Oreochromis niloticus: one gene and its partners. The protein of the gene in region 2 purifies or fractionates together with the protein of the main gene of each other region. This does not show direct contact. Links are inferred from orthologs where the notes say so. Each region holds a gene or a part of one and is shown on either strand. Other genes may lie near its edges. The genes, in order: myocd, srfb and mrtfab.

Region 1 (7,919 bases), on a different chromosome or scaffold from region 2:
AGCCTGTTGTTTCAAGACAAGACTTTGGAGATACTCTCTGTGTGTGTGTGTGTGTGTGTGTGTGTGTGTGTGTGTGTGTGTGTGTCTGTGTGTAAGCTGCGTGCGTGTGTGTGTGTGTGTGTGTGCAGGGAGAGTAGAGATAACGCTGGGGAGTTAGGTGGCTGGCTTTAAATTTCTTTTTACCATACATGAAATCCACAAACACCATGCAGCCAGGGGGAACTTAAGAGATGGAGATGAGCCTCGAGGTGCAGCTGATGAATGCACAAGACCAGCCAAGCAACATAAAAAGAGATCTGTGTAGCCATTGAAGTGAATTTCAAGCAGTTGTTTCTAATTAGGTCCGGCTCCTGGGATCATCCCAGAAGATACGTTCCTCCTGAACGTCTCTGCTTCTATAAACAATCCTCCTTTGCTTCTTGAGCTGACTGGGCCTCAGACCTGGACCCCAACATTCACCTAAGCCAATATGTCTACACAGACTCACTGCTCGACTTACTTTTGACTAATAATAATCAGATTTGGAATATTTGTCCAGTCCATTTTGGACATTTTAAATTCTGTACATCAGCATTTAAAGGTGTATTCAAATGGAATCTATTTCTCTTAGATGAATTATACCATTACCTTCCTTTGTTGGCTGTTTTAATGCAATCCAGAGTGTACTGGTAACTTTTAATCACATCCATAAATTTGAAAGGTAACAAAGGTATTTTTGCCAGAATAACGATCTTTTTCATTTCTTTTCATTTTTAAGTTCACCAGCATTTATCGGCTCATTATAAATTTACCTGTTTTAAACATGATTTTTTTTTAATGGTATTTGCACACTTGTGACAAATACATCAGCTGAAATAAATTAAAGCTAGGAAGGCTTCTTACTGTCCCAGGTTTAGCCATCGCTTGTGTCCATTATATAAAATTTGTTCCCATTATATGAGGTGAGCTTCCTCTTGTTAACTACGTTGCCCAACATGTGTGATGTAGACAACATGGGGTTTGAAAAAGCTGGTAATAACTCAACATTAGCAAGGAAAGCTCTGACAATGTTGAAGAAGGGACAGCAGCTCTGATCAGTTTAATAAAACAGGCAAGTTGACCAGATGCAGGCTCTGCAACACTTTCAAATTAGCATCTATGAGAATGGCTGAATGTAATAAGTTTAACCAACTGCTTTGCCAATACTTCACATTTATTGCTCATTCATATTTAATCCCCCCTTGTAGATATGAAAAGTTAAACATGTCACACAGTGTTCTTTTAATTTAACAGATTTGGTTTTGTTATTAATATATTATATATATATTTTATAATATAATATTTTAATATACTTTAAAAAAATAAAGATGTAGGCCTTTTTTTCTGAGCTCATGAATAACAGTTGTTTGTTTAATTGTTTAATATGCAATTTTTTTCAAAAGGTTTAAAAATCCGAAAATAAAAAATAATATTATAATAAAAAAATAAATAAAAGCCTGAGATACAGTTATTACTGAAAATCCATTTATTCAGTTTGATTATTGAACTTTAATTGTTTTTTCTTCTTTGTTTTTTTTTTGGGGGGGGGTTGTTTGTTTGTTTGTTTGTTTGTTTGTTTTTTGGTAAAATCTGGTTTTAAAGATGTTGATGCTACAAAAATACTACACTGGAAGGTTTTCCATCCAGTTAATTCAGTTATTTGTTGTTAGTGTTTATTTTCTCTTTGTCTTTATTATTATACTCTTACACACGTACATACAAGTGTGTATATATATATTGCTGTTGTTCTTGTTTTTTTTTTAAAGTTAATAATGACCAAAACAAAGAACTCTAATTGTTTTGAAGGTAGTCGCCATCTTGGTTGCGTACAGCCAAAATTCAGTTTCTGCTGAAATTGAGCAGAAAGATGGAGCTGATACCCGTAAAGGCATCTCGCATGCCATTCTTCACTTTTATTTGATTAATTCATGGAAGTTTTTCTGTCCATATAATTGTTGTTGAAATAGCATTAGCTAGGGGAGAGCTAACAGCTAAAATGTGTAATTTTTTTTTTTAGCTTATTTTTATTTATATTTTTAGCAACATGATATTAACAACAAGGGCAATTATAAAATTTTCTCCTCACCTCTGTCTGGACAATGTTAAGATTAGCATACATTTTATTTATATTACCTGCAGACCATCTTCTAATGGTTTGACCTGGATGGTTGATATCCACTTCTTGCAATATTTTTAGTTGTAGATTTACTTCCTCTTTGTTTTCCTTAAATAGGTAACATCAGCTAACATTAAAGCTGGAAAGTTACAGAAAGACATGAATCTATCATTGCTTTTTTTTTTTCAATTCTATGTTTTAGTTCTTGGTTAGTTCATTTTATCTCATTTTATGTAATGGCAACAAAGATAATCAAGCAGTATTTTACTTTAGTTCAGGAAGGCCTGTGAAGCATATGTTGGTGCTCAGTTGATTTTCTCATAGTTTCTTTAGTTTCAGCATTACCATCTTCTCCATGACTAATAACTGAACTTATAATTGCCTGTACCGTTACAACAAGTTCATCTTTGCATCCTCACTTTAAATGCCTGCTGAGGTTATTATCTTTTTTTCGCTCCATCAGACGCTTACAGTTATGAATCTTAACTCCATGCCTTTGAAGCCAGTATCACAATGCATACTTTAGTGAAGAATCTTCATCCTTTTCTATCATACTTTGATCACAAAGTAGGAGTGAGACACAAAAACTGTTAAAAGAACTTGAATTTGGACGAGTCAAGCAGAGGACAGGTGAAGTTTGCAATTCTTTCTGAATGACACAGCACAATATTATTTCACTGTTATTTATGCTTTAGCTTTGTTATTCCAGATTGCTTCGCTTTATAAAACTTGAGTCCTGAATAAAAGGAAGCCAGATATTTTCAGAATGCTAATTCTCTTATAAATTAGCTTTACTATGCGCCAAACAAAGACGATGAGAAGATATATTGCATAACTCACACTGACTTGTCGGTGGAGGTTTGATACAGCGGCGGGGTAATCCTGATCCACCAAAGGGGTTGTCCTCACCCGGCCCTGTTGCTGCTCCACATGTACTTCGACCGCATGTGTGTTTGTGTGTGAAGCAACGTGTTCTCTCCTCCCAGCAGTCTGAAGCTCTCTTTAGAGCTATTTATAATCAGGGCTCTTGTTTGCAGACTGGGTTGTTACCTCTGCAAGCTTATCTCTGAGTTATTTGATAGAGTAGTGAGGTCATTGGATAAAAGCGATTTCTATAAAGCAATCGTACAACAACTGGAAATTAATGCGTTCCAGTAGCCTAATTAGTTCAATCACTTAGACTGAAAGACTGCTTTATTTTCAAAACTATCCTCCCCGTGCTTGTGTCATCACATTTACACGACATGAAACTCAATTCAAGCTTTGATGTTTATCATAATTATAATTTTCTGTTTACACCTACAAGTGTTAAACTGTTCATCTTCATGTTCACGACTGGTAAACTGGACCAAATAATGACACGTGTCGGAGCTTGGTGTTCCCATGGTTACAACATGATCAAATCTGAAGGTAAATACAGTACACCCCAAGCTGACTTTAACTTTGACAGATCAGAATTAAATGTGCATCAGTTTTCTTCAGTTTGGATTTTTTGTATGGAAAGAACTCCACTAGATTTCATGTGTCTTTTTTCTAACTGCTTTAGTGGTGCAAGTTCAACCAAAATCGAGTTAAACAATTAAAAGATGCTGTGGAAAACTGGAGTACCAGTACTGCTAGCCATTTGGCACATGGGTTGTACAAAATATCCACCAGTACAGCTTCAAAAGTGGGAGTTAAAGCCGGTTTGTATATCCAAAGCACATTTGACTACAGCCTTATATTTTAGATGAATCTCTGTTCGCATAGGTTTTATTGTGATAGACTATTTTGCTTTGTATTTTTATAGGGTTTATAATTCTTTGTATTTCATTTTCTGCATATTTAGTGAACATTATTATTGTGGGGCATTTGAAAATTAACAAGCCCAAAAGCCTTGACACAATAGCCACACTTTAACTACAGTTGGACACTTGTCCAAAGTGTATCTCTTCACATAACTGTATGATCACACAGTATAGCCAAGTTTCTGCCATGTCAATTCTCTTTCTCATCAGTTTGACAGACAGTCCAGCTCCTGGGAAAAGTGGCATTGCGGCTGAATGGAAAGCATTAAGAGCTTTCAGCGACGCCCCAAGGCAGGCTCATATGATACCCTGTAAGAGAGGGGCTAATATTTTACAGTCAGCTTGGTATTTACCAGAAGCTTGTAGCGTTTACCGCAGATCAAGACCAAAGTATCAAAACATTCAGAGGATGAGCGATGAACCTGCCTCTCAGCTGTCTTCCGTCTATTACAGACAAGGGGTTCAGTTGTTGGTCATGAACAGAGAACAGAGAAAAATGCACCATGTCAAAGTTTGGGGGGTAAAAGTTAGACGCCAAACATGACGTCGATGTTAGGCATCTAAAATGTGACACCGAAGAACTCATAGCTTGTGAGGCACAGCCGTGACGTAATCCATGATACATAGCAATAAAATGTAGAAAATCCTCTTTTGTAAAACATGAGAGGGAGAAGTTAGACTGTTTGATTGATGGAATTGTTACAGAGTCTACTTAACAAACCTCTAAATTTAGATCTGATTTCGTATCCCTGTTCTGAGCATGAATTTCTGGCCTCCAACCCAGGCATTACCTCAGCCATGGAGCTTTGAGTGAGTGCGGTGTGCTTGAAGACTGGGCAGAAAGGCTGCTGTCATCCAGTCGTAATAGCAACTATTGGTATGTTGAACCGAGCCCAGCCTGGAGTGTAATGGCAAAACAAGCACAATTGTTCACATCCAGATATATTATTCCTGCTGCTGCAAACTGAAAACATGCTCATGTTTGTGCCGGGCCTCTTCACGCAGGGAGGTAATGAGGGCCAGAGGGGCCAGGTGGTCTGGGTTTCCTCAAAGCTTTCACTCGTATACCTTTATTTGCATTTTGACAAATGTTCCCGTTGTGAATAATCACAGTGCATCAAGTCCACCTTATGAGCTGTAGGCTGATGTAAGAGAAGAAAGAAAGAGGAGAAGATGACATGCACCTCTGCTGAGCTCTGGCCTTCCTTGGGATTAAGGAAGTACTTCATTTGCATTAGAAAAACATAAATTCGTTGTCAAGGCCAGTTGTTCAGCATGTAACATGGATAAACTCAATGAGCTTGGGCTGGATATAAACATGAGTGATCAATTTGTCACATAACTCCAGCGCAGTGTGTATTTACTCCTTTCACATACCAGACTGCTTTAAGCTGCTGTCTACATGTTATTTGAAACAGGCTGCTTTTAGTAATGTACGTAAAAAAGAAGTATTAATGATATTTGAACTCTTTTACTTCTTCAAAGTGCTAATGAGCAGCTTAGCGTCTTTCAGCCTGCTGTCTTATTTTTAAGGCCCTTAGCTTTTTTCTTTAGCTGTCTTTATCTTAATTTGCTGCTTTTTCTTTGCAAATGGCAAAAATGCAAAGTTAACAACTATTCGGTAAAAGCAGCTGTGCATTTACCAGTTTAAGAAAGATGCATTCAGGAGTTGGTGTATATATTGTATTCACTGGGTCATTTACAGTGACACACTCCAAGTCAGTACAATGATGACTAAATGCTAGATGATAAAAGATTAACTGCATGAACATATTCCAGTACCACCTTTACAACTTTACCTTTTCTTTGGTGCCATCATTTCTAACAACAACTCTAACTTGTGTTTACTATACTAAGGGACGTGTCTGATTATGGTTGGTTCTATACAGAGGACCAATACAAAAGCATAAAAAAAGGCATATAAAATGCTGACTTAATCTAAGATGCCCATTTTGGGGACTTGGGAGGAATTTAATCAGGAAGGCAATGGGGGCAATTCCACACAATGAGGCCCCAAAACCAGGAGCTCCCAACCCAGCTTCTCGCTGTGAGCTAACTAAGTACTCCTAACCACTACACCAGTGCAAGTATGTGCAGCTTCTGCAGAGAAGTAGCATGCTTAACGTGACTGTTTGTGAGGACGTGAGCTGTGAGGATAAATAAAATCTGCTGAATAATTTGATTTGGAGGTTGTAACTATTTTTGCATTTTGAACTGAGAGACAGAATAAAAGCTGTCTCTGCATTCCCAGATCTTAGCGGTTCCTTTCATGAGTACAGTGTTACAATAACTGATGGAAAGGTTGGCCAAAACTGTGTAAATAAGACTAAATATATGATAAATCACAAATTTATTTTAACTTTGTGGATTTGGAGCTCTGATGTTCCTCCTTACAATGACTGAACCATATAACCATAAGTTCAACCCAAACCCACTAACTAAACACATATGCCTCCATGGTCTGCATTAATATCTTCAGCAGGGACTGTAACCACCTCGTAAATGACATTGGCAGCACAGGCAAGGACATAAGTGAATTTCCAAGTTTAAAAAAAAATCATACCAGAGTAGAAGGACTGTATTTAAGACGACTGTTTTCTGATTTTCTTTTTCAGTTTAATCCCACCCTTCTTGTGGCCCCTTCAAGGAAATGTGCTCCAAACGCTGCTCTGACCTCTTTTTGTTGAACATCTATTAATGTTGCATTGAATCCTCCTTTGAAAAATGTGCTTCTGTTAAAATGAAGGAGCACAGAAAATGGCTCGCTTAATTCGAATGTAAAATATTAATATATACAGATCAATGAAAACATGATGTGAACATTTCTTTTCCAGGCATGAAATAAGATTTAGGAATGTGGTAATTAAAGCACTGTCAACGTCAATGATTTTCTCCATATGAGGTCTTGTTCTGAAAAACATGACACTGTATTTCACACTTTAAATGGCATGAAAGAATTCACCGGCAACATGTAAGGAGACGTCATGTTTATGTTAAGGGTATTTCTTTCCGCAACCTGTGCAATGTGCACATTTCAAGCTGTTTCGTTTCAATAATCTCACGAGTGAATTTTGAGCAAAACAAAGAGAAAAGCGGCATCTTTTATTTATAGAAGACTTGCAAACATGCTGATCGCATGTTACGCAAATGACATGAATATTTCATGACATAACTCGTATAATGAGCGTTCAAAACAGATTTCATCACACTTCGTGGCCTGAGTCGCAGATGGAACAGAAGAGGCGGAGTGCGATACCCGCAACAGGCATGACTTTCAAAATAAGCACACTGTTTTCCTTTGAAATGAGGTTTAGGGCTCAAAGAGCAGTGAAAGGATTTCTGCTGGGTTATCTATCATTAATACTGCTATCAATACAGTCCACCAGATGATTACTCACTCGAATTTCACCGATAATACCGAAAGAAAAAAAGATCAGTTACTAATGAATTAGATTAATGTTTTAGCTGAGAATTTATGTGACGCAGTCTTGTTGGGTTGTTCTGTTTTATAACATTCACTTGACCTTTCACCATATGCTCGAGTAGCTGCAAAGCTCCACGGGAAATTGAAAGTCAAAATGGTAGGAATTCATCCACATGCTGTCAAACATTTTTGCACAAATTTTCCAGCAAAATATCCAAAATACATGAAAGCACACAGTGATTCCATGAACCCCCAAAGCCCAAACTCTTATCTGGTTTTAAGATTGATTTTGGCCTTCAAAGTCCTGACATCAAACAGGGAGAAAATAGGATTTCATCTCCCAAGCTTTCACCTGCGTGTGTAAACAACGTCCAGGAGTGTCTTTAATACATCAAATGAAGTTTGATGCATATTCTCTTGCAGCCAACATAAACATTACGCTGTTGCTTTTAAATCTAGGAGGACATCTTGGGACAGCCAGCCAGGGCTTAGCGATTACAAGAGAAACTAATTTATGATTCCTTTCTTGTCTGACTTGGTAGGCTAGTTTCAGGAGTGAGGAGAAACACTGCAA
Region 2 (7,063 bases):
TAAAGGTTTATCCTTCCTTGAGCAGTCTTGTAGGAATTCTGTCTAAAAGACGTTGATGGTTTGGAGCAAGTAATGTGTGTGACGCTGACAAGTTATTATTTCTCCAATGGTTACAATTTTATTTGTGAAGAAATTCATGAAGTCATTACTTAAAGGCACAAAAGCAACTTTTTAAAAATGTAATGTCATTTCAATTTAATGAAAGAATGATTCGTCATTTAACTCATCAAAGCAGGAAAAACTTTAGGTGTAAGAAATAGCATAATGAATATATGGACGCGCTCCATTTAGCCGAGGCCATTCCACAGCACTGCACCTGAGCTGAGTCACACCTAATGTTCTTCATACCACTTGTGCTGCTTTTCCCACTATAGAAAGTCATATCATATATGCCACATATTAGTATTAATTGAGTAACCCTGAACCTCAAACTGACGTAATTATTTAACAGGGTGTGTTTGGCTGCAAGCTGAGGCACACATAAGAAGAGAACAAACAGGCCTGTGCTACACTAACGGCATCCTTCAAAATGAAAGTGGGCTCATCCTAGACCAATCTATGAATCTTCCCACTCCACCCACCTGTCATTTTCTGTGATGGCTGGCATAGTGTGGGCAACCTTTTCAAAAAAAAAAAAAAGAAAAGAGAAAAGAAAACCATCCCCACACTGTGTCAAATAGTGTTCATGTTGCCAAGAGCCTACATAAAGACACCTCAGTTTCCACGACAACAGTCTGGGATACATAAAAAGAGAGAAACACAGCAGAGCGCATGGTGCAGCCGTATCGAAGAAACACAGGGACAAGTTAAAGGAAAGAGAAAAAAACTCCTGGACTCCAATAAAGCACCGCTTACAAGTGTTTATTTAAAGTCATAATGAAAAGTGGCCGAGTCCACATCACAATAACTGCTGGGCTTGTGGTCAACAGCTGACCCCAGCTCAAGTAATCCACTCTCCGTGACTCTATACCAAACTGTGGTGTTTTATTGTGGCATCAAATCGTGTGGGTGAGCTGTGAATTTCCTCAGAAATGTTGCTTTAAGGAGACAGTAATGGGAGCAGTTATGACTGAGAAGCAAGCTTTGTCATCTTTAATGTCGCCTGCTTATGAGCCAGAGTCAACTGACAAAAGTGGAAACCAGGACAAGTCATCAGTGAGACTTGGACGTCTGTGTAATGTACAGCACCATAATGCATGCACAGACAGACAGCACCCCCCCACTACCACACAACCCAGGCTTCTCGCTTCTGTCTCAGTGTTCTTTGACCGTTCTTTGGTCCGTTTCCCTGGGGTTTTGTTAGCTGTTGGCACATACAGGCCGACTGCTGCTTACTGCCACATGGCTGCCGCCTGTAAGCAGTGACAGAGGGAACAGGCTGTGACTTGTGATGAGAACAACATCTAATAGTTGCAAGGATGTCTGTGAAGGTGTGTGGGGGTATGTGTGCAGGTATGCATGCATGAATGAGTGGGTCAGTTTATAAGTTTCTGTGTGTGATAGTTGAGATTGGGGGTGTCATAAATAGACCTGTCATTTGCTCTATTCTATTTAAAGCCCAGTGGCTGTCATGAATGTTCTGACTTCCTCACATCCACTGAGTCACTTCTGGACCACAATGGCTTTGTCTTTCATAAGAAATACACTGACACAAGACTGACATCAGGTCAGCAGCATGTAGGCTCACATGAAAAAAAAAACAACAACCCAAAAACAAACCCAAAGTCTTTCTTGTGGTTATTGTAATAACAGATGCACACTGTCCCAGGGTGCTGTGATTTTTTTTTTTTTAAAGGTTATTAACAAGTGCACTTCCATGAATGACTGCAAAGCACCCTACAGTGTGACACTGCTGTACTTCCAGGCCAATCAACAGCTAAAAGAGACTCTCAAATCAAACGCTGGCGCAGCTGGATGAGATCCAGACGCATCACCTGACTCACCTTCTTCATTATGCCCGTCTTCCTCTTGCTGAATGTGGTGTACCGTCTCAGCTTGTTGTCAATAAATTCCATCTTTATCTTTACGCGTCCACGTGTCTTCTTGCCCGGTTTTGCCCCGGCGACCCCTCCGGGCACCATGCTGTAACCTCCGGGCGATACTCCTACCTCCTGTCCCGACACCGCAGCCTCCATCTCCCCTCTCTCCCGCTTCACCCCTCTCCTGCTGTCCCCAAGTGAACCCACGGGTTCGTCATCATCTCCGGAGTCCGAGTCGTTATCTGAGCCGCTGCACAGAGGCGCACTCTCCCGGTCCGGATCGAAGCGGGCTCCGTGAGGCAACATGACTCCTGGACTTAAGCCCACCATGCTGCTTTGAACGGAAGTCTGAAGAGGGTTTACACCGGTCCCGTTCCCCGGCCTCGCACCTCTCGGACCCCCTGGACCATTAGCTCCCAGCATCCCAATGGTATCTCTGTCCCCCTGTCGCCCTGCAGCACCGGTACTCTCGCTGACCCCCGGTAGAGCTTGCCCTGATCTGACAAGAACGGGACGAATCCCGCTGCCGACCAACCCCGAGCCGTGTTGTGTTGTACCCCTGCCTGAACCCGAGCCGTTTCCAGATGGTGCCGATCCAACCTGGCTCGGTAACATTATATATTTACTGGAGCGAGTTTTTTAAACACCAGCCAAGAAAGCTGGATTCGGTTGCCTCGTAAATGACTGATAAAACGCATACACGTCCGGGCCACGATATGTAAACAAACCCGACCAAATGATGGTTCAGAGACTCCAGGAAATTACCGAGACAAACTTTCGAAAGTGATGCTGCCCCCAAGACCCTTCAACCCCGGCTCAGTTTGCTTCACCCTCCTCCTCTATTTCCAAAACTCTGAGCACTTTCTCAAAAAGGAAAGCGCGAAGAGCGACCTCCATATTGTTGCGCCACGTCACCTAGTCCGCCCTGTGAACCGAAAATAGCTCTAGTGTCGATTTGCTCGCACACAAGTCGAAGTTTCTCTCAGATAATGTTACAGTATTTCTCTTTCCGCGTGTCACAAACGAACATAAACCTCAAAATTTAAGACAGCGCAAGCGATAGCGGAGTAATACCTCAGCCGAGGAACTACTTCCCTCCTTATAAAGAGATACAATGTTTCCTTATTTGGTGCTGTCTCTCCTTATTTGGTGAGTCACAGCGTCGTGTACGGATTGGTTGAGGATTATCTGAGTAGTGCTGTCATTGGTCAGCGAAGCACACTCATTAGAATAAATACCAAAATGGTTGCGCTAACTGACAACGTCACCGTGGAGAAGTAAAGAGGCACCAACATAACAAAACATCCAACTTTTATTTTATTTATTTATCTTAATTACCCACAGGTTGTAGCGCCTATAACACACAGCAAACTCCCATTTTCCCGGAAGTTGAACTATATAATCTCCTTTTATCTGAAGCGCATGTGTGCAGCACTGTTACTGTAGATAATTCAGCAATATGAGATAATTTAAGGTGCCAGATTATCGCACACCGACTTGCACAGGGAATGTAACTGTAATAAGCAAGTTCCCTTGAGTATGAAGCCTGCTGCTTCCTACCAACTTTTTAATAACGCCACTGTTAAGCAAGGTGCATTCTCTGTCTGTTTGCTTCATCTTGTTCACCTTTGCACCAATTCCAGCCCTCTTAGTAAAATGTGTTACCAGTGTCGTCAGAGATGGCTTCCTCCTCTACAAGTAGACCTGACAGCAAGGACAAACCAGCTTAAACTGATGTCATTCATCATTAGGCTTTCTTTGAAACGTGTAATCCGTATTCATTTAAAAGAAAAAAAAAGTATCAGAGGGAAATCAGTCAGAGGCACTTAGGTGTGCTGTTTGAAACGATGGAACAACCTCCACCCACCTGGTCTTACGGGCAAGTTAAAACAAACGCCAGAGTTTTGAGGCATTTGAAGATGGTTCAGTGGCAGGATGCTCAGGGGATTTTTATTGCAAGTGAACTACAAAATCGAAAGTTCGGTGAAACGCAGATTTACTCGGAAAATTGTTATAATATCACCGCAGTGGAAAGACATTTATTGCGTTAACAGACTCATTTCTATTCAGTGTTGCTTCTCGGCATGTCACGCGCACCGAACGAGGCCCAAAAAGTGACATGCGCACGGTGCTGTGTGCAAATCTCAAGCGAAGTCCCCCCCCAACACACACACACACACACACGCGCGCGCACACACACACACACACACACACACACACACAGAGTGCACAGTGCTCAAAGTTTGGAGGAGACCCATAACGACTGAGGAAGTGCTAAAACTCACTGAGCACGTAGACCCATTGAGGAAACTTCTTTAAAAGCTAGTTACCACATTAAACTGTAAACAAATTATAATGGGGAAAAAATGTTTGGCAAGCCTCAAGGGTCAGGTTTAATCCTTACCTAACCGCACAGCGCCCTCTAGTGGCTACAACAGAGACTTTTTATTTGGATAAAGAAAAAAGTAGTGCTGGATGTACTTTTACAAGGTCATACAAGTGGTTTAACAAACTACAGCCCAACACTATAAAGTACAAATACTTCTAGTTCTGCTTCCACACACACACCCCTCCTCCCGCCCCCACCACTACCACACACACTTTAATGATCTGTGTGTGTATATAACTTGTAGAGACTTGCGAGAGATAAGCAATCCACCTCATTGAAGATTTCATCACTTATTCTTAACCTCATATTTTGTTGTAATGCAGGCTGCAAGAAGAGAGTGTCACACAACACTCTTGTATCAGTGAAGAAGCCACCAGCTCCACGATTTACAACATATTTTCGCTTGAATACACAAACGAGGCATTTACTTCTCACAAATCAAACACCTTATTTGGGTGAACTTGTTACAGCTGAATTACCACATTTTTTTTTTTTCAAATATTTGTTACAGCCTCAGCATAAACACTGACCTGAAAATATTAAGAAGTTAAAGTAACTGTCACAACAAACTGGGTAAAAACACTGTGAACCTTTATTGACAGCAGCATGTATGCTTTTGTATATATCTGTGATTACTGTGAACATGTGCTGAAGCAGATTAAAAAAAAGAAAAAGAGGTCTAGTTGTGAGTGCCTAGCATTCATAAAAACAAAATATTACACTAAAAACAACGTATAAAAACAGGTTCATAAACAAAGGCCATCGCATTTGATTAGATGATGTAAAAACAACAACAAACAAAAAGGGAAACGGTTAAGATAATCCTTCATTTACTAGGCACTTAAACGAGCACTGGTGACCTGCGGTCACTCTTTTGACCTCCTTTGTACTTTGTGTTAGCGTATCCAGACGGTTACCAGACTGAACGCACACCGAGATGGACCGTGAGAATGAATACATAGCATAAACTACCTCACAGAAGTACCTTTCTATTACAGTTTAAAAAAAAACAGGACCTTCATCATAAATAACCAGGCACCTGCATGTCCTTCTACACAACATGATATATATATATATATATAAAAAGGATAATCTTTTAAGTGAAGTTAGTGCAAGGCTTCTAACATTATGTACACACTGCCTGGTGTGATGGTCCGCTTCGCAGCATTGCACAAAACAGGTGGACCAGGAGAGAAACTGTGATTGGACCTCTGGAGAGAATAAAGCAGGTCAAACGTGGCGGCGGGTTCAATTCCTGCAGCTGAGAGGACACAATGGTGTTTGTGTGGTAAAAATGAGTACTCCTACCCATCAGCAGTGACCTGTAAGCACCTCAAAGTTAACAGACAAACAGAGCACACTTATAAAAATGTATAAAGCCCACACTGGCACGATCTCATCTGTTCAACATGTTCCTTGGCTATAAAACTTGTTTCTTTGTTGCTGTTGTTCCTGAAGTGTTACCGTAACACGGATTACTTGTTTTCCACAAACCTTCATGCAAACCCCCATTCCTTATCTGTCTGTAGGGACAACAGTTCAGTGCATGTACACACACACACTCACTCAAACACACAAAAGCAAACAATTTGAGGGATTGTACCCGGTGGAGAGAGAGCAGACATCTGAGGGGTCAGGGTGGCGGACTCAGGATGCAGCTCGATGTAATTGCGAGGGGAACAGACCAGTTTAAACGACCTCACTCGGCACACTCGTAAAGTGGCTGATTATCTACAGAGGCTTCATTGCTCCACTGCAGTCCCACTGTGCCCCACTTTCTCTTCAATATCCTCTTTAGATTAATGAGAAAACTCCAAGGAGTTAAGTGGTGACGTGACATTTCAGGCAAATCCTTCGCACTAATCAGAGCCAGCGAATGCACCATCATTCCTACAAAGTTAGAGAGTGCGTGAGTGTGTGCGTGTGTGTGTGGAGGGGCAGAGGCACTGAGGTTGTGAGGCTCCGTGAAACGAAAACGGCCGCAGACGGGCGGGGTCACAGTGGAACCACAGGCTGGAGGTGGGGGAGGATCGTCCGTGCTGCAGTGAAGGCAAACTCCTGGCACTGCTCGCACGAAGCCATTCATACAAAGGTGAGTGCAGTTCCACTCATATAGCAAACAAGTCTAATCCACACTCAAAAAATTGTTGAAATGCATAAAAAATTAAAGTTTTTTTTTTTCTTTTTTCTTCCCCCTCAACCCTCTTCCCTGAAATGTGTGAGACTAAATAATCCAGCATTCCTGTCTGTATTTTAGGGGAAGGGGGGCGGGGCAGAGTTGGTAACAGTTCCTTTCTGCTGTGAGATGATTGGTCACTTCAGACTTTGCTGTCAGAAGGCAGCTCTCCCAGGGCGTGGACGATGTCGGTGAACGAGGGGCGCTCTTTGAGGCTCAGCGCCCAGCAGCGCACCATCAGCTTGTAGATTTTAGAGGGGCATCCGTCCGGAAGGGGTAGCTTCAGCTTTCCTGCCTGCAGACCTGCAGAAAAATGGGATGAGATGCCTTTTAAAGAGCGATCCCCTCTTCCTGGGGTAAAGACAGTAATGTGTTGCAGCATCAAACTCACCTTCTAACACTTCGTCGTCGCTCAGTTTGGTGTATGGCATTTCCCCATGACTGAATACTTCCCACATCAACACTCCGAAGGCCCACACGTCCGACTTGGTGGAGAAGTCATCCTCAAACACAGACTCT
Region 3 (7,377 bases), on a different chromosome or scaffold from region 2:
GCAGGCATCGCAGAGACTGGAGGATGATTTTCAAACGATCTCATCAGAACTGGCGACACAGATCAGGTGTCTATGTTGTGAATTTGTAACGTAATATACTGAGTTCTTCACCTGTAAATACAGACCTCATTGTCTGGTACGCGAATGACTTGGCATTTACTGTAAAAGTCCGTTTCGAAAGTCTGTTTTCGAATTTGCATGTGTACTGTGGAATAACATTTGTGCTTCTCCTCTTGCTGTTTAGCTTTGCTGATTTTGTATTCAGAGAGGATATGAAAATGAGAAATGCTACAGAGCAAAGAGCAAACAGATTTCCAAGAAGTGTGTACGTGTTATACAGTTTTAAAAGAAATACATACAAATAAATGTAGACTTACAATAGGTGAAGGTTAAGAACTTGATGAAAAATGGAGGAGCTGAACCTGAGGCACAGGTAAAAATGAAAGACTGAGAAATGTTTGAGAGAAGGAGGGAGGCAGAGGAAGCGGCAGCCTCCTCTGCTCTACAGTTGCCCAAACACTTCTTATTCTTGTGAATCCAGCTCCACAAACCTTAACTGTCATCTTTCTCTTTCTTGTTCAACTCCTTTTCTTTATATTTTTTCTTTTTATTACTATGAATTCTTTTATCTTTTTTTCTTGTGCTCCACCTCCATCTGTTCCATCTCCCTTATTTTGAAAACCCTGGAGCATTTTGGGGATGTTCTTTCTTAAACAGCATTCCTGCAGCTCCTAATTCTTCTGCTCCAGGTTTTCTTTCTCCTTTTCAATTACTTCTTGTCATACTTTGCCGTACTTTCCCTGCCCTTTGTTATACATATGTAGAAGTATTCCTTCTTCTTCTGCCTCTTTTTACTCCTTTACTATTTTTTTAGTCTGGTCTTCATATTTTTGCTGCAGTTCCTTATACTTTTGTCCCACTTCTTTTTTCAGATGCAGTACTTCTTCTATCTTCCAGAAGTTTTTGGACTAACACATTCACGGTCTTCAACCTTTGCTGTAACAAATCCCCCTCTGTGTTTTATATGTATGCTTTGGATCACTATCTGCTTGGCCAAATAGCTGCATTTTGCAGAAGGTATTTTGGCAGACGTTTAGGTAAATATTTCAATGTACTGCATAGGTGATGGAGCATAGGTGACGACACATTAACAGACAGCAACAACTGTATGCTGCAATGGCGGATGATATCCACGGCTTTTTCATTGGCAAGACAAATGTCATTTTGAAACGGGTACACCTTAATATGACAAAATGGTTCATAATGAAGTAATCAGAGACAGGCTGGTTGTAGGGCTCGCTGATATACACACCAGCACATGTAACTGGATGAGGATCTCGTGCTAATCAGTAACAGTAAAACAACAACAGAGTGACTTATGTAGGAATACTGTGTGAAAAAGAGAGACATGCTTGGTAGGTAGAGTAATGAGCAGAGTCAAACAGACTTCTTTGTTTTTGTCTTTCAGAGACAAAAACAAGTTAGGGAAATAAACACAACTGTGGACATGTAGAGACAAGCAGAGTGTTACAAATGTGGGGAAATTCCATTATAAGCCAAAGAGTAAAGTGTAAAACATGCAATATTATAAAAGAGTGTGTGCTTCATTAAGAGCTGGTGCAAGAAAAAGATGGAAGCATATTCATTGGGAGCATAACAGGAAAAGGAGATCCACTGACTGTGGATCTAAAGCCCAAGGACAGGACTATCACATTTAAAATTGACACTGATGCTGATATGACTGTCATTCCTGACCTGATTCAATGTGATGTTCATAGATGTGAAACCAACTCTTGAGAAAGAAAAGAAGCCCATAAGGTGGTATACCACTGAGCATCCTACGGTTCACAAACTTAACACTACAAAAAGAAGAAAAACCAATAGGTTTTACATCTTTGTGATCAGTAACCGGCACTCTCCTGCTCAGGGCTAGTGGACTCAGCTAGTCGCTAGTGGCTAACAGACCCAAGTCATGAAAATGTATCAGGACGGATGGCTAGAGAGCAGATCATTAAAGTTTGGTAAAGCTGCACTATGCAGATGCCTGCTTTATTTTGCATGATGGCCTCTAGTTAAAAAGGGCATAAGTGGTCATTCCTGCAGCTTTAAGAAACGGTGTCCTCAGCAGGCTACATGAGGGGTAGCTAAATGCATGCGGAACATGCGTGTGAGCCAAAAGGAGCCATTGCTCCCAACAGATCTCCTGGAGAGACCCTGGAAGGAGGTGAGGGCAGACCTGTTTACACTCAAATGGAAAATGTACTTGCTGTTAGTGGAGTGTTACTCGAGCTATGTTGAAATGGCCAACCTCCACCACATAAAGTTTGCTGATGTCACTGTCAATCTGAAATCAGGGTGCCTGAGATCTTAAGGACTGGCAATGGGCCACAGCTCTCAGCGGGTGTCACAACGTTTTCTGATACATACAGTTTCAAACATGTGAGCAGCAGTGCACAGTTCCCACAAACCAATGGGGAGGCTAAACAGGCTGTTTAAAAAAGACCAGATCAGTACTTCTGCATATCTTGTCGTCCCACTTAAAAATGTGTTTCAGCCCAGCTCAACGTCTGATTTGGTGCCAGCTTGGTTCCACTGTGCTGACCCAGCAGTGCTTCCCGACAGCGCAGCGGTCATCGTAAAGGAGAAAGGACAGAATGAATTCACATCAGAGATTCTTCAACAGGCATCACTGTGCACAGGAGTTCAGTTATCCCCCTACGTGGGAACAGGCGTGGTTGAACTGCACTCTAGTTCCTTCCCTACAAAAACCAACACCCGGACCTTTTCCAAATAGCACCACAGTCATAACTAAGTCAGGCAGAGCAGTTTTGAAACCACAGGACTGGACTGAACTTGTAAACAACTGCGCAAACAGAGATTATCCTTAGTTTGAAAGCTACTGCATTATGATGAAACTTGGGCTGTTGCTGGGCTGTTGGGGTAAAAAGTTTGTTATCTTCAAAAGAAACAAAAGAGCAAAGCTGCGTTCAAGTTAAGAATCTATTCAACAGTAACTAAATCCAAAGTGAAAGATTTTATTTCCTCCTTAAAAAGGGAGCTGGTGTGATGTTGGTTATGTAAGGAGGCCCAGAGGATTCTGGGTAATGTTGTTTTTATTGTAGTAGGGGGCTCCAGTTCTAGTAGTCTCACATTCAGAATCAGAATCAGAAAGACTTAATTAAGCTAGAACAGAGCAGCATGACGTTGAAGATAAGGACAGGGCATTAACAGGCAATACGAGTGAGATAATAAATACACAGAATATACAGTTTATACACAGTTTTAAATACACAGGAATTAAGGGAGCCTTATACAGTGAAGACCTATAAAATATAACTCAAGACTCTGAATCAACTTCATACATGAAGTCTGCTTCATTTGTCAGGAAATAACAGAACAGTCCTCACTTTTCCATGAAACTGAAGTACCTGTCGTTCAATTATGAACCTCTGAATGTCAAAGGCTGGAGATACACAATACACAATGAAGGTAAAGCTGAAGAACTTAAAATCCATCCGGGGCCCCTGATTGAAGGGTGTCTCCTGGCCGGGTGGATATCTAAGGAGCAACCTGATTGATCCTGCCAGTAGCATGTGCTTGTCTCAGTGATTAAACTGTGCATGTCTAAGTACACGTGGTGATTACAGTGAAACTGTGAATGGTGCATGAAATCCCTTATGGTTCCTTTGATCGCTCAGCCATTATTTGAATAACAATGGTAATCCGAGGGCTAATAAGTATAAAGTATAAGGGAAAGCTAGATAGAAACCCAGACTTAGAAATCTAAGTGCACCAAGATAATTAAACAGAAAATCTGGGGCTATGTATAAAAATGGACCTTATATTATTTTTATTTGGTTTGCAGAAAAAGCTTTACCATAAAATAAAACACTGATTATTCTACAAATATAAATCCAAATAATCTGAATCAATAACTACATTACATACATCAATAAATATTTTTTTTATTTACTTTTATCTAAACGCATCTCTGTTTGTCTTTCAGACTAAGAATTGGTATGTCAGTTTGGCTTTGTTTATTAAAAATCACATAAAAGATACATTATTGGATTAAGAATATTACAAAGAAAAAAAGATTGTAGCATTGCAAACTTCAGACCGAAGTGAAAATCACATAGAAAAACGCGCTTCTTTATTTTAGAGATATAAATATAACGCTAATACCTGTAGCTCCGTGTGTCCTGAAGTACACGCAGTTGAACACTAGAGGGAGACAGAGACTGCGCATGTGTGACAGAAACAGTTCTCAGAAGTGCAAACACACTCTCCACTTCAAGTTAAACAGCATACCTATTTTTGTGGCGAGGGCAGTGTTTTAAAGGGATATGCGGACAAAGCTCCGCTCTTTTATCTCCTGTTACCGAAGCGGGCTGAACCCGTGGGAACGGCGTAGCGAAGGAAGTGGGTCTCTGCGTCCCACGCAGAGGAGGGTTTTCCGGTCAAAGTTTCCTTTGTGATTCGGGGGTGGCGCTGTGATGCCAAAGGCGTTTATCCTCACAGACACAACACACAAGTGGCGAACATTATGAGTAAGCATAAAAATACAAATTCATGGTTTGGAGTTAGAGCAGCATCTTGATTTCTATTCAGCGAGAGTAACAGCGTGGCAGATAACTGATCGTAGGCGTTAGCACTTAGAGGTGATGTTGTTATGGCATGCTAACGGTTGCTAGCTAACTTGGGGTGTCTGTGTCTGCAGTCAGCAGGGGAGCCGAAGAGTTTTCAGCTGAAGCCGGTGTCAGCGTTAAATACTTTATTGTTGTATTTGATAGCGTTTCACGTTCAGTGTGGCGCGTGTGTCCGCTTTTCTATAGCAGCCCGACTTTGGCTCGCGTATTGAATGTTTAGGTTCACTCCCACCCAGACAGGCTAACAATAGCTTAGCATGCCTGTGTGTTTTGGACAGTGACAGCTGCAGGCTGCGGCCCCATGACATCTGTGGAAAGGCCTCCTGAAACGTGGATTTCTTTAGCCCATCTTATCAGTTGTCATGAGTCTTTTTTCAAAACGTCTTTTACTATTGTAGATCTTTTTTCTTTTCTTTTTTTTTCCTGCACATGCCCTGGTTACTGTGATACAGCTGCTCAGCATCATAGTACGTACAAGTAGTGGATCAGAAGAGCAAAGGGGTATAACAGACTATTTGTACTGAAGCTTTGCTCTTATTTTGTTTTACAGGACCGTTCAAAGCTCTGTCCTCCTGAAATGGGAAAACCCCCCTTCCAGATTTTGTAACACAGGTAAGCAACAAGCCTTGTTCACATCTGGCCTAGTTTATGATAAGCCAGGTTGCAACCACATCCTTTTACCTGTTTGCTGGGGAACTGAAAAGCTCTTGTAATTCTTGGTAGCTGGTTTCCTGTGACTGATGGTGAAACAGCCCTGGCTGTCAGGACGTGTGTGCCTCGCAGTGTGTACCAGTGTAATGATGATGCATATCTGAAAGGCTAGTGTGGGCGTGTAGGGAGGAATGCTTCCAGTGTGTTTCAGCATTTGAATGTACTATTCAGCAGAATAGCACATTATGCATGTTTGAACAGCAGCTGTTTGCTGGGGAAAGTAGGGATGAGGCAACTGTGAAGATCTGTCATCCTTCATTCGTGATTTGGAGGTTAATTTAATGTGTGACACTTGATATTTAGGTCACTGGCTTTATTGTATTAAGCTAGCTTTTGTGTGAGGCCTCGACAAAAGCTGCAGACATAACGCCTCGCAGTTTTTCTCACCTGTTGTCGAGGAGATAGGCATCTCAGCGTGGTGTGCTGAAACAAAGATCACACATCAGATTGAAGAAGCAAGTGCATGCATTATCTTGCGTGTCTCATCGTGTTGGCTTACGCTGTTATTGAGCTCATGTAGATATAGCACTAAATAATTTCTTTATACAACTATTTAGTCTCAATTATTGATTTAATGTTATTTTAGCAAGGTTTTCTGAGCCTTTCTAAACCAGTTTTCTGATTTGTTTTCTCTGGGTGAGCAGTCAGGCGGTCTAACTAGACTAGTTTTGGCTGTTGTCATCTGTAAAATGATTCCAAATCTCTTGTGTGATCAGGTCAAAAAGTCATTGTTAAATATCAGGTGACTTTGACAGCTGGACAGAATGGTGAAAAAATGCTTATGCAGTTTGATTTCTGTCTGTAACATGTATACGCACTGATACAGGGTTATTTGGACCAGCTATATAATTTGTTTAAATAATTGTCATCTTATTAAATCATATTAAATTATAACATTTTGCTAATTTTTAGCTGTATTTTATTAGGTCTGTCATTGACTAGTAATGAGAGAATCTGGTTTATAATTTGTAAAAGTGGGTTGTGTTAGCCTGTGAGAGACCGGTGACCTGTTTTTCACCCTTTCACAGCTGCGTTAGACCCTAAAATGAGATGGATGGATGCTCTGTATAAGGTGCAGATACTTACTGAGTAAAAGCCTTGTGCCAGATAAATGACTGAACAATATGTTTAGTTGTTTCTTTAGAGAATCTCTTGTCCATGTGTCGAACCCCCGACTCTAGCATCTTGGACAGCAGCTGCCAGCGTGAACTCGCTCAGATGGATGAAAAAGTAAATTAAAGTCTATTTGTGAGGAAACTCAGCCCCAGAGATCAGAGAAGACTGATTTTTAATCCAGTTTTAACGACTCAAAATTATTATTTTCCATAAAAAGTAACACTATTTACCTACATTCTGATAGGTTCACAATTTTTTTTATCTCTCTGCTTTAATTGACTTAAAAATAACATTTGTCTTCTATCAACTGCTATCTAAGTGTTTTATGTTTGTCGCGATCAAACGTGCAGTGATCCAGTGAGATCAAGAGAAACTTTAGTGTCGTGCGGTTAGTGTGTCGCTATTCAGACGTGTGAGCTTGTGTTTGATTGTGAGAGAAAGAGAGGAGCAGCATCTCAGACAACACTGCCTCATTGTTTGCAGCCCCGCTGTGCAGTAATGACAGAATCCCCATCAGAACCCCACAGCTAGAAAACACATATTTGCAGAGAGCGCAAGAGGGAAATCAGCACACAGCACAGCGGCAGGTCCTGCCTTTGTAAACAACCATTAGCGAGTAGCTGTCAAAAGTTACCGGGCCTGCTCAGTCCAGAGGAGTGTTTGAGAAAGGAACCAGTTACACCAGGCTTGTGCCAGTAAATCAGGAAAATCTCTTCCATGACATGGTTTTGAATGGTTTGACTATTCACAGGAAGGTTAGCCTTCAGGCTTCGCTTCTTCACACGCTTAACCAGTTTGCGGTATAAATGTACCTGCCAGTCAGAAAGCAACAGCAATTTTAAGAATTTTTTTTTTGCCCCCAACCATTACGCCAATGAAGTGTGAATCGCATCAAGTGCAC

Evidence for each region.
Region 1: the proteins of srfb (region 2) and myocd purify together in Homo sapiens (affinity purification with western blotting; 3 studies listed by BioGRID and IntAct, with this or other methods). This does not show direct contact. The link is inferred for Oreochromis niloticus from reciprocal best matches to the Homo sapiens genes SRF and MYOCD.
Region 3: the proteins of srfb (region 2) and mrtfab purify together in Homo sapiens (affinity purification with western blotting; 4 studies listed by BioGRID and IntAct, with this or other methods). This does not show direct contact. The link is inferred for Oreochromis niloticus from reciprocal best matches to the Homo sapiens genes SRF and MRTFA.

The regions. Positions count from the first base shown.
Region 1 is NC_031973.2:26,309,327-26,317,245, forward strand, and holds the start of myocd (myocardin), read right to left. Parts: upstream 3,063-7,919; 5' UTR 2,975-3,062; intron 1-2,974. UniProt on the Homo sapiens protein: Smooth muscle cells (SM) and cardiac muscle cells-specific transcriptional factor which uses the canonical single or multiple CArG boxes DNA sequence. Acts as a cofactor of serum response factor (SRF) with the potential to modulate SRF-target genes.
Region 2 is NC_031978.2:24,478,237-24,485,299, reverse strand, and holds the start of srfb (serum response factor b), read right to left. Parts: upstream 3,077-7,063; 5' UTR 2,595-3,076; coding exon 1,944-2,594; intron 1-1,943. Other genes in the region: ptk7b (inactive tyrosine-protein kinase 7), read right to left, coding at 6,687-6,847, 6,936-7,063. UniProt on the Homo sapiens protein: SRF is a transcription factor that binds to the serum response element (SRE), a short sequence of dyad symmetry located 300 bp to the 5' of the site of transcription initiation of some genes (such as FOS).
Region 3 is NC_031973.2:22,379,994-22,387,370, reverse strand, and holds the start of mrtfab (myocardin related transcription factor Ab), read left to right. Parts: upstream 1-4,282; 5' UTR 4,283-4,550; intron 4,551-4,632; exon of another isoform or gene 4,633-5,116; intron 5,117-5,199; 5' UTR 5,200-5,261; intron 5,262-7,377. UniProt on the Homo sapiens protein: Transcription coactivator that associates with the serum response factor (SRF) transcription factor to control expression of genes regulating the cytoskeleton during development, morphogenesis and cell migration.